Mus musculus: one gene and its partner. The protein of the gene in region 1 interacts with the protein of each later gene in a pairwise test. Links are inferred from orthologs where the notes say so. Each region holds a gene or a part of one and is shown on either strand. Other genes may lie near its edges.

The links.
Region 2: the proteins of Rab11b (region 1) and Rab11fip2 interact in binary tests that used the Homo sapiens proteins (3 or more experiments, as listed by UniProt). The link is inferred for Mus musculus from reciprocal best matches to the Homo sapiens genes RAB11B and RAB11FIP2.

What each region holds. Positions count from the first base shown.
Region 1 is NC_000083.6:33,758,185-33,762,100, forward strand, and holds the start of Rab11b (ras-related protein Rab-11B), read right to left. Parts: upstream 2,303-3,916; 5' UTR 2,079-2,302; coding exon 2,039-2,078; coding exon of another isoform or gene 1,859-2,038; exon of another isoform or gene 1,674-1,858; intron 1-1,673. UniProt on the Homo sapiens protein: The small GTPases Rab are key regulators of intracellular membrane trafficking, from the formation of transport vesicles to their fusion with membranes.
Region 2 is NC_000085.6:59,933,177-59,936,992, reverse strand, and holds part of Rab11fip2 (rab11 family-interacting protein 2), read left to right. Parts: coding exon 1-5; intron 6-918; coding exon 919-1,387; intron 1,388-3,816. UniProt on the Homo sapiens protein: A Rab11 effector binding preferentially phosphatidylinositol 3,4,5-trisphosphate (PtdInsP3) and phosphatidic acid (PA) and acting in the regulation of the transport of vesicles from the endosomal recycling compartment (ERC) to the plasma membrane.

The DNA of each region.
Region 1 (3,916 bases):
TAGGAAAGCTCTTCCTGTAATTGGATACATATGTGTTGAAGGAAGGAGGTATAACAACTGTCTTTTCCATATCTAAGCTTCAATCTTTGCCCCTAAACTTAACCTCTAAGTGGTAAGATCTGTCTTGGGCTCAACCTTGCTCCACCCTTAGGAACCTGCCTTTCTGAACTTGTTTCCCCCCCCCGCCCCCCCCACTTTTTTTTTTAAAGACATACTATGGATGTGTAACCTAAGTTAGCTTTTAAAAAATTTAAAAGAAGCCGGGCGTGGTGGCACATGCCTTTAATCCCAGCACTTGGGAGGCAGAGGCAGGCGGATCTGTGAGTTCGAGGCCAGCCTGGTCTACAAAGTGAGTGCCAGGACTACACAGAGAAACCCTGTCTCGAAAAAAAAAAAAAAAATACAAGAAAAATCTCATTCTGTTGACTTGCCACTCCCACCTCACCCGTTTATGTAGACCAGGCTTGCCTTGAACTCATGGAGCTCTGTCTGTCTCTGCTTCCTGAAGCTGGGATTAAAGGTGTGTGACACCACACTCTGCTAAATTACACGATTTTTTTTCAGTTTATCTCTATATGTGATGTGGAGTACCTGTGACGGGCAGAAGACAATTTGCAGACTCTCTTCCACCATGAAGGTCCCAAGATTGAACTCAGGTCATCAGGCCTGGCAGTGTACACAAATACCTACGCTACCTCACCATCCCAGATTGGCTCTGAACTGCAAAGAAATCCTGTCTTAAGTCAGGGTTTCTATTCCTGCACAAACATCATGACCAAGAAGCAAGCTGGGGAGGAAAGAGTTTGTTCGGCTTACACTTCCATACTGCTGTTCATCACCCAAGGAAGTCAGGACTGGAACTCAAGCAGGTCAGAAAGCAGGAGCTGGTGCAGAGGCCATGGAGGGATGTTCTTTACTGGCTTGCTTTCCCCTGGCTTGCTCAGCCTGCTCTCTGATAAAACCCAAGGCTGCCAGCCCAGAGATGGTCCTACTTACAAGGGGCCTTTCCTCCTTGATCACTAATTGAGAAAATGTCTTACGGTTGGATCTTATGGAGGCATTTCCTCAACTGAAGCTCCTTTCTCTGTGGTAACTCCAGCTGTGTCAAGTTGACACAAAACTAGCCAGTACATCCTCCTACCTCCAACTCTGAGTACTGGGATTGCAGGTGTGCACCACTACTGGCCTGTTTCCTGGATAATATGGGCTGTATAAACTAATAAGGAGGAGTAAAAGGGACCATTATTAAAAAGTTTCAGAATAGTACAGGTACTGCATTTAACGTTGTCCATGTGTGGTTTTTCTTTTTTTCCTTTGAGAAAGGGTTCCAGTAATCCAGCCTGGCCTCTGCACTTTTGATCTTCCTACCTCTGCCTCCCAAGTGTTGCGACTACAGGCCTGCACCATCACCAAGGCGGTGTTAGTGATAAAATCCAGGGCTTTGAGCATGCTGCTGCTAGGAATGCTACCAACTGAATCACTTCTCCATGAATATCAAGAGTTTGAACTAGTCGACAGACAGGCCCCAATCTACCCAATTCCAAAGCACCATAATATAGGGTTCCTGCACATGATCCAGGCTCCACTCCAAGGTAGGCCCCGGGTGTGTCAGTCAGTCCTAGAAGGCTCACACCAATCAGGCTTTGTGGGCACGCCCACAACCTTCTCCTTCGCCTTAACACCAGCTACAATCCTGCTTTCAACGCAGTCCGCCCGCCAAACCCAGGAAAGCCCCGCCCCTCGGGACGCCCCGCCCCAACGGCCTCTCCTACCACCTCGGGCCCCACCCCCCCAAGGCCCCGGCCCCGCCCCGGCGCATCCGGGGTCCGTAGGCCTCGCCGAGCCTCCCTTTCCTCACCACTGCGTACTAGGGCCCGAAGCCTAGCGAACTCCACTTGCCCCGGCTTCCTCCGACTCCCAGCCCGGATAGGCCCCGTTGAAGTCCGGGCCTCCACCCTGAGCTCTCTGTTCCTGTAGCACGGCTTCGGCCCTCCAGTCGCTACCGCCACCTCGCCTGTCTGTACCCCACAAGGCGCACCTTTGAATAGGTAATCGTACTCGTCGTCCCGGGTCCCCATTGTCCTGGCGCTTCCGGCGGGATCGGCGACTCCGCAGCCCCACCACAAACACCCGTCGGGGGCGGAACCGGCGCCGCGTAGAGCGGCGGTCTAAAGGCCAGTCAACGGTGAAAGCGGTAGTGACAGGCACCTGGACAAGCCAATCAGGCTGAGAAACCGAGCTCGGGGGGTAGGAGCCTCCTGGGATCCACCCTTCTAGCCCTCGGTCTCCCGGAGAAAGGCGGAAGGAATGCGGACCTTTTTGAAATGACAGATTCAGCAGCCTATCAAAAGCAGATGGGGGAAGGCGGGACGGAACACTTGAACAATGAAGTGGATTGACAGAGTGCGTAACCAATGAGAGACTGAACTCAGACTGGGCCTTCCAGCGAACCTGTAGGGGAAGGGAAATTGAGCTACCTCTAGGTGACGTTACGGACTTTAACGTCCTGATGACATCATAGATCAGTGGGTCTCCTCCGACCTCTTATTCTAGCCCCATAAATGACCATTTCCGGGCGTATGTTCGTTGATTGGGGGTGCCTTCTCTGGGTTGCAGTTCCCCAGTTCTTTGTTTAAATACAAAGCTTATGTCAGTACCTCCAAAACAAATGGGGATCCTAGGCTTTTTTATTTGTTCCTCTTCTCAAAAAGTTCTCTTGTTTTCTGCTTTCACCATTACTCATATTTTTTCTTTTCTTTTTTTAAGACAGGTTTTTCACTATGAAACCCTAGCTAGACTGGAATTGGTGATATGGATCAGACTATACCTGTCTGATTTTCTTTTTTCTTTATTGTTTTTTTTTTTTTTTTTTTTTTTTTTTTTTGTGACAGGGTCGCACCATGTAGCCCTGGCCATCTGGAACTTGCCCTGTATAGACCAGGCTGGCCTTGAACACAGAGAGCTGCCTGTCTCTGCCTCCCAAGTGCTGGGATTAGAGGCATTGGCCACCACCACCCAGCTTGATTTTGTTTGTTTGCTTGTTTGTTTGTTTGTTTGTTTGTTTGTTGAGACGAGGCCTCAAGTTACCCTGACTAGCTTCATATTGAAGAGGGAGTAGAGATAGAGAAAGGGAGAGAGAGTGGCAAGGAGGGGGGTGGAGAGAGAAGAGGAGAGGCCGGCCAGGGAGAAGGGGCAGAGTGTAGGATAAGAGAGGAGGGGGGCAAACAGCCCCTTTTCTAGTGAGTTAGTCATACCTAGCTATTGCCAGGTAACTGGGAGCCTAGAAGGAATGATAACAATACATATTTACTTTGAACTAACTTCTTTTTTTCTTGTTCTGTTTTATTTGGAGCACAGGGTCTCCCTGCCTAGAACCTGATATTTAACACTGAGAGATCCACCTGGCTCTGCGCCGCTAAACACGCCACCTCGTGCTAGCCAACTTTGAACTTATGATTCTCTTGTACACTGGTAACTTGGAAGTTACCTCTCGGGGGCTGGAGAGATGGCTCAGTGGTTAAGAGACTGACTGCTCTTCCAGAGGTCCTGAGTTCAATTCCAAGCACATGGTGGCTCACAACCATCTGTAATGGGATCTGATGCCCTCTTCTGGTTTGTCTGAAGACAGATACAGTGTACTCGTCACATATATAAAATAAATAAATAAAATCTTTTTTTAAAAATTTACCTCTCTGATTTCATTTTCTTTCTCTGCTTGTGTATTCCTGAGATTATGTGGCTCATTTGGGCCATGAAGTCTTTGTTTAACAGATATTAAGAGATTGGGAGAATAGTAAGGAACAGCAATGCAGCTTAATTTTATTTATGTGTATGTGTGTTATGTTTGCATGTTGTGCACTATGTGTTTGCAGTGCCCATAGAGGTCAGAGATGATGTTGGATCCTTAACTGGAGTA
Region 2 (3,816 bases), on another chromosome or scaffold:
AAGTGGTAAGTGGTGCCATATTTCCTTTCTTCCTCTCTCCTATTTTATGTAGTGTAACTTCTAAAGATAGAAAATGAAAAGTAGTGTTTCTAAAGCCAGTCATTGATTGTTTGAGTACCTCCCAACACCTAATTGATAGATTCACCGGAGACATGCTTGCTTGTATCTATATTTTTGTTGTATGTGGTAGAGAAATGAATCCTAGCCTTCTTTTGTGGCCTGGCCTCTTTTTTCTGTTATCATTTCTCCATTTCAAAAGCTTGCAGCGGGAAATGTTTGGCAAAGTGCTTGCCTTGAAAGCATGAGGATCTGAGGAGTTCCTTAGACACCCAAATGCACACTGAGACAGTAAGGCAGGAATGGAGGAGGTAGAGACAGGTGCATGTCCGGGGCTCCCTGGCCAGTCAGCCAAGACCACTTGGGAAATTCCATACCAGTAAGAGATTTTGTCTCAAAACCAAGATGGGTAGTTCTTGAGGAATGACAGTGTTGGTTGACCTCTGGCCTCCACGCATATCCATGGACACACCAAAGAGGAAAAAGAGCCTGTAGCATATATTCCATTCCATACAAGTGTTTCTAGAAAAATTTCTATATTCAGAGGAAACAAAATTGGATTCTAATGGTGGAAAAGTTTAAGACTTTTCAGTATGATTGTGAGAGCAGGCCCTTTGGATGGATTTTACACTTTTCTCATGTGATCGGTTCTGAGCCAAAGAAGATAGTAATATAATTGTCTAAAAATATAGTATCATAGCACATCTACTTATAATACCCCTTACCTAATTTTAAGATTGTTTTGATTATTTTGAGGGTTGATATCTTGTTAATTGCTCTCATTCTGAAGCAGCAGAATGTATCAGATAGTGTAACAGCATATGTCACCCATCACCTACTAATGGGAAAAAATGTTTGTAGGAAGTCTCAAGTCTCCACACAGACGAACACTAAGCTTTGATACTTCTAAATTGAACCAACCTGGCAGCATTGTGGATGAAGGTGAACACTCTTTTGGAAGACAGAGTGACCCATTTACAAATGTGACTGCTTCATTACCCCAAAAATTTGCAACACTGCCAAGGAAGAAGAATCCATTTGAAGAAAGCAGTGAGCCATGGGACAGCAGCATGAATTTATTCTCAAAACCAATTGAAGTCAGGAAAGAAAGTAAGAGAGAGAAAAGGGAGAAGGTGAGCCTCTTTGAAAGAGTGACTGGCAAGAGAGATAGCAGGAGACCTGACAAGCTGAACAATGGTGGATCTGATAGCCCATGTGACTTGAAATCACCTAGTGCTTTTAGTGAAAACCGGCAGGACTATTTTGAATATGAGTCAACTAACCCGTTTACAGCAAAATTCAGGGCTTCAACTATAATGCCATCTTCAAGGTAAGCTCACCAGGAGGAACATGTGCCGTTTGGGGGACCTTGTACTTGAAAATAATAAGTATTCCTTTTAGATGCATGAATATTTTATATTCTTTTTATTTACTTATTTATTTTTACCTTTAAAAAAAAAACTATCCATCATAGATCTAAACATTGTTGTTTGCATGTGTCCTTGGAATTGAATGTTTTACCTTGGAAGAGCAAAGACTTTTTCCTTTCTACCTCAGTCTGCTCCTACCTATGGGAGCCAGAAACCTACCATAGTTCTTGGAGAAAACAGCATGGTATTTGATGAGACCCAGTAAAAGTGAATAGACCATGGGCATGAATTCAATCCAGAAGTATATTTCTAGGTGCTTCCCAGGGATTAAATCACGGGCTGTCAGGAGAGCGCCAGTGAGCCAGAAGCAGTCAGCATGGTGCTATTTAGCAAATGCTGAAGTACTAATGTTGTCATAAAAGATGTTAACTGTCTTTATTAGATGGCTGATCAGAAATATCTTTTATTCATGAATACATGAATGTCTTCTTGAATCCAGGGACCCTTGGGGGTACTGTCTGTACCCTAACCAGAGCCCTGGGTGACAAGTAGCCATGGGTACAATCAGCTGATGAAAGTTAGAGTTTTAAAGCTTTGGGTCCTTCTGTGTACATGGCTGCTTACTTCACAGCATTAAAGTCAGAGGTTCTGCAGTTCTGAGTGATAGAGGACCTGCTTAAGGAACCTCAAGCAAAGATGAAGATGACCATGAAGTTTTTAAGTAATTGTAGAGAAATACAGTAGAGGCTGAGTGTCCTGTGTAATATACAGACCTGAGTGGGAATCCTGACTGTGGAGTACTGTGACCTCTCTAGACCTCAGCATCTACATCTCTGAAGCAAAGAGGATATATGTAGTTTGTAGGATGTAGTGAGGCTAAGTAACACACACATGAAACACACAGTACAAAGCCAGGTACCAAGCGGGGATCGAATAGATGGTCACTGCTTCAGGCTGAGTATCCTTCACTTGGAACCCGATCCACTTTTATGTAGAAGTAGAATGACAGTTTAACGCTTTCATCGTGGGTAGAACCTTGAGCTTCAGATTTGGAATTTTTCAGATTTGTAATTTTTACATGGAAAGTCAATGCTGATATTCTAAAATTCTAAAACCAAACTGAACCACTTTGGGTCCCAGAAATACTGGGTAAGGGACAGGTGACCAATTGATGTCTTATATATCCTTTTCTTTAAAATTGGGGCTTTTTGTTTTGTCCCAGTACTTACAGAAGACGGAGCATTAACAGCCACTTGGGTACGCTTTTCTCTTAGACCTCTCCATCATGAATGCAATGCCCACCCTTGAATGTATATCTTCTATGCTATGTTAAAAAATGCTCTTAAAATTTCCAGAGGGAAGTGCTCATTTTCTGTTTGTTTTCTTTATTATTAGATGGGAATTTGCTGTAGTTTTAGAAAAAAAATTCATTCAGTTTTATCTATAGACTATACTTCAGAGAAATAAATTTTTATTTTGTGCTTTCCTGACACAGAGATACTTCTTCATGTGTCTCTACTTCATCAACTCTTAAGTACAAGCTAAATAAGAGTGTGCCCCTCCCTTTCTGAACACTTATTTTTTTGCAGAGATTACTGAAAACAAGTGTTCAAGGTAACTTAGAGATTGGCTAAACTAGGTAATTTTAGAGTCAGTGAAAAGCAGGAAAAAAAAGGGAACTAGTTTTAAAATAATACAATACAAATAATATGAAAAGTAACTGTCCTCAAGCTGTGGCCTCTGTGGCTTTAACAGGGAGACGGCCTGCACTAGATTTCAGCTTCATTTTGTTCCACTTTAATATTAACACTACTATCAAAATCAAGGTTGTATTATAAATCCTATGGTTACAAGTATATAAGAAAAAAATTCTTTTAGAACTTAAGACTTTTTCTTTGTATTTATGAAGCTCCAGGTATGGGGACAGAAAGTGCATTCCTGGAAGTTTCTGTCACAAGTCATCTTTCTGGTAAACTAGAACATTTGTAGTTAATGGGTGTCTCCAGTTAAGGCGTAGAACAGAATTTTTTCCCAGTATGTTAAGTAAAACCTACTTAGAGAGCTCCTGAACTCTTGTGACCCATGGTTTTGAGACTACTGTGTCAACTTAAAGCACAGTCCATTGCCAAGAAGCTGGTGTGTGAACTGACACGCCTGTGATTGCAGGAGCACAGGAACCATGTCTGTCCTCTAAGTAACTAAGCATGCCACTAGAACTGGAGAATTTTCTTTATATTCCTCTATTTTCTGTCACTAAGAACATAATTTTTAGAAGTTAAAGTTTTTAGTGTTTGTATATGTAACATCTGCCCAAGGAAAAGGCACATTGGAAACTACAAAATACACTTTATTTTGCATCTTGGAGTCATTCCTATAGTCTTGTGGGAAA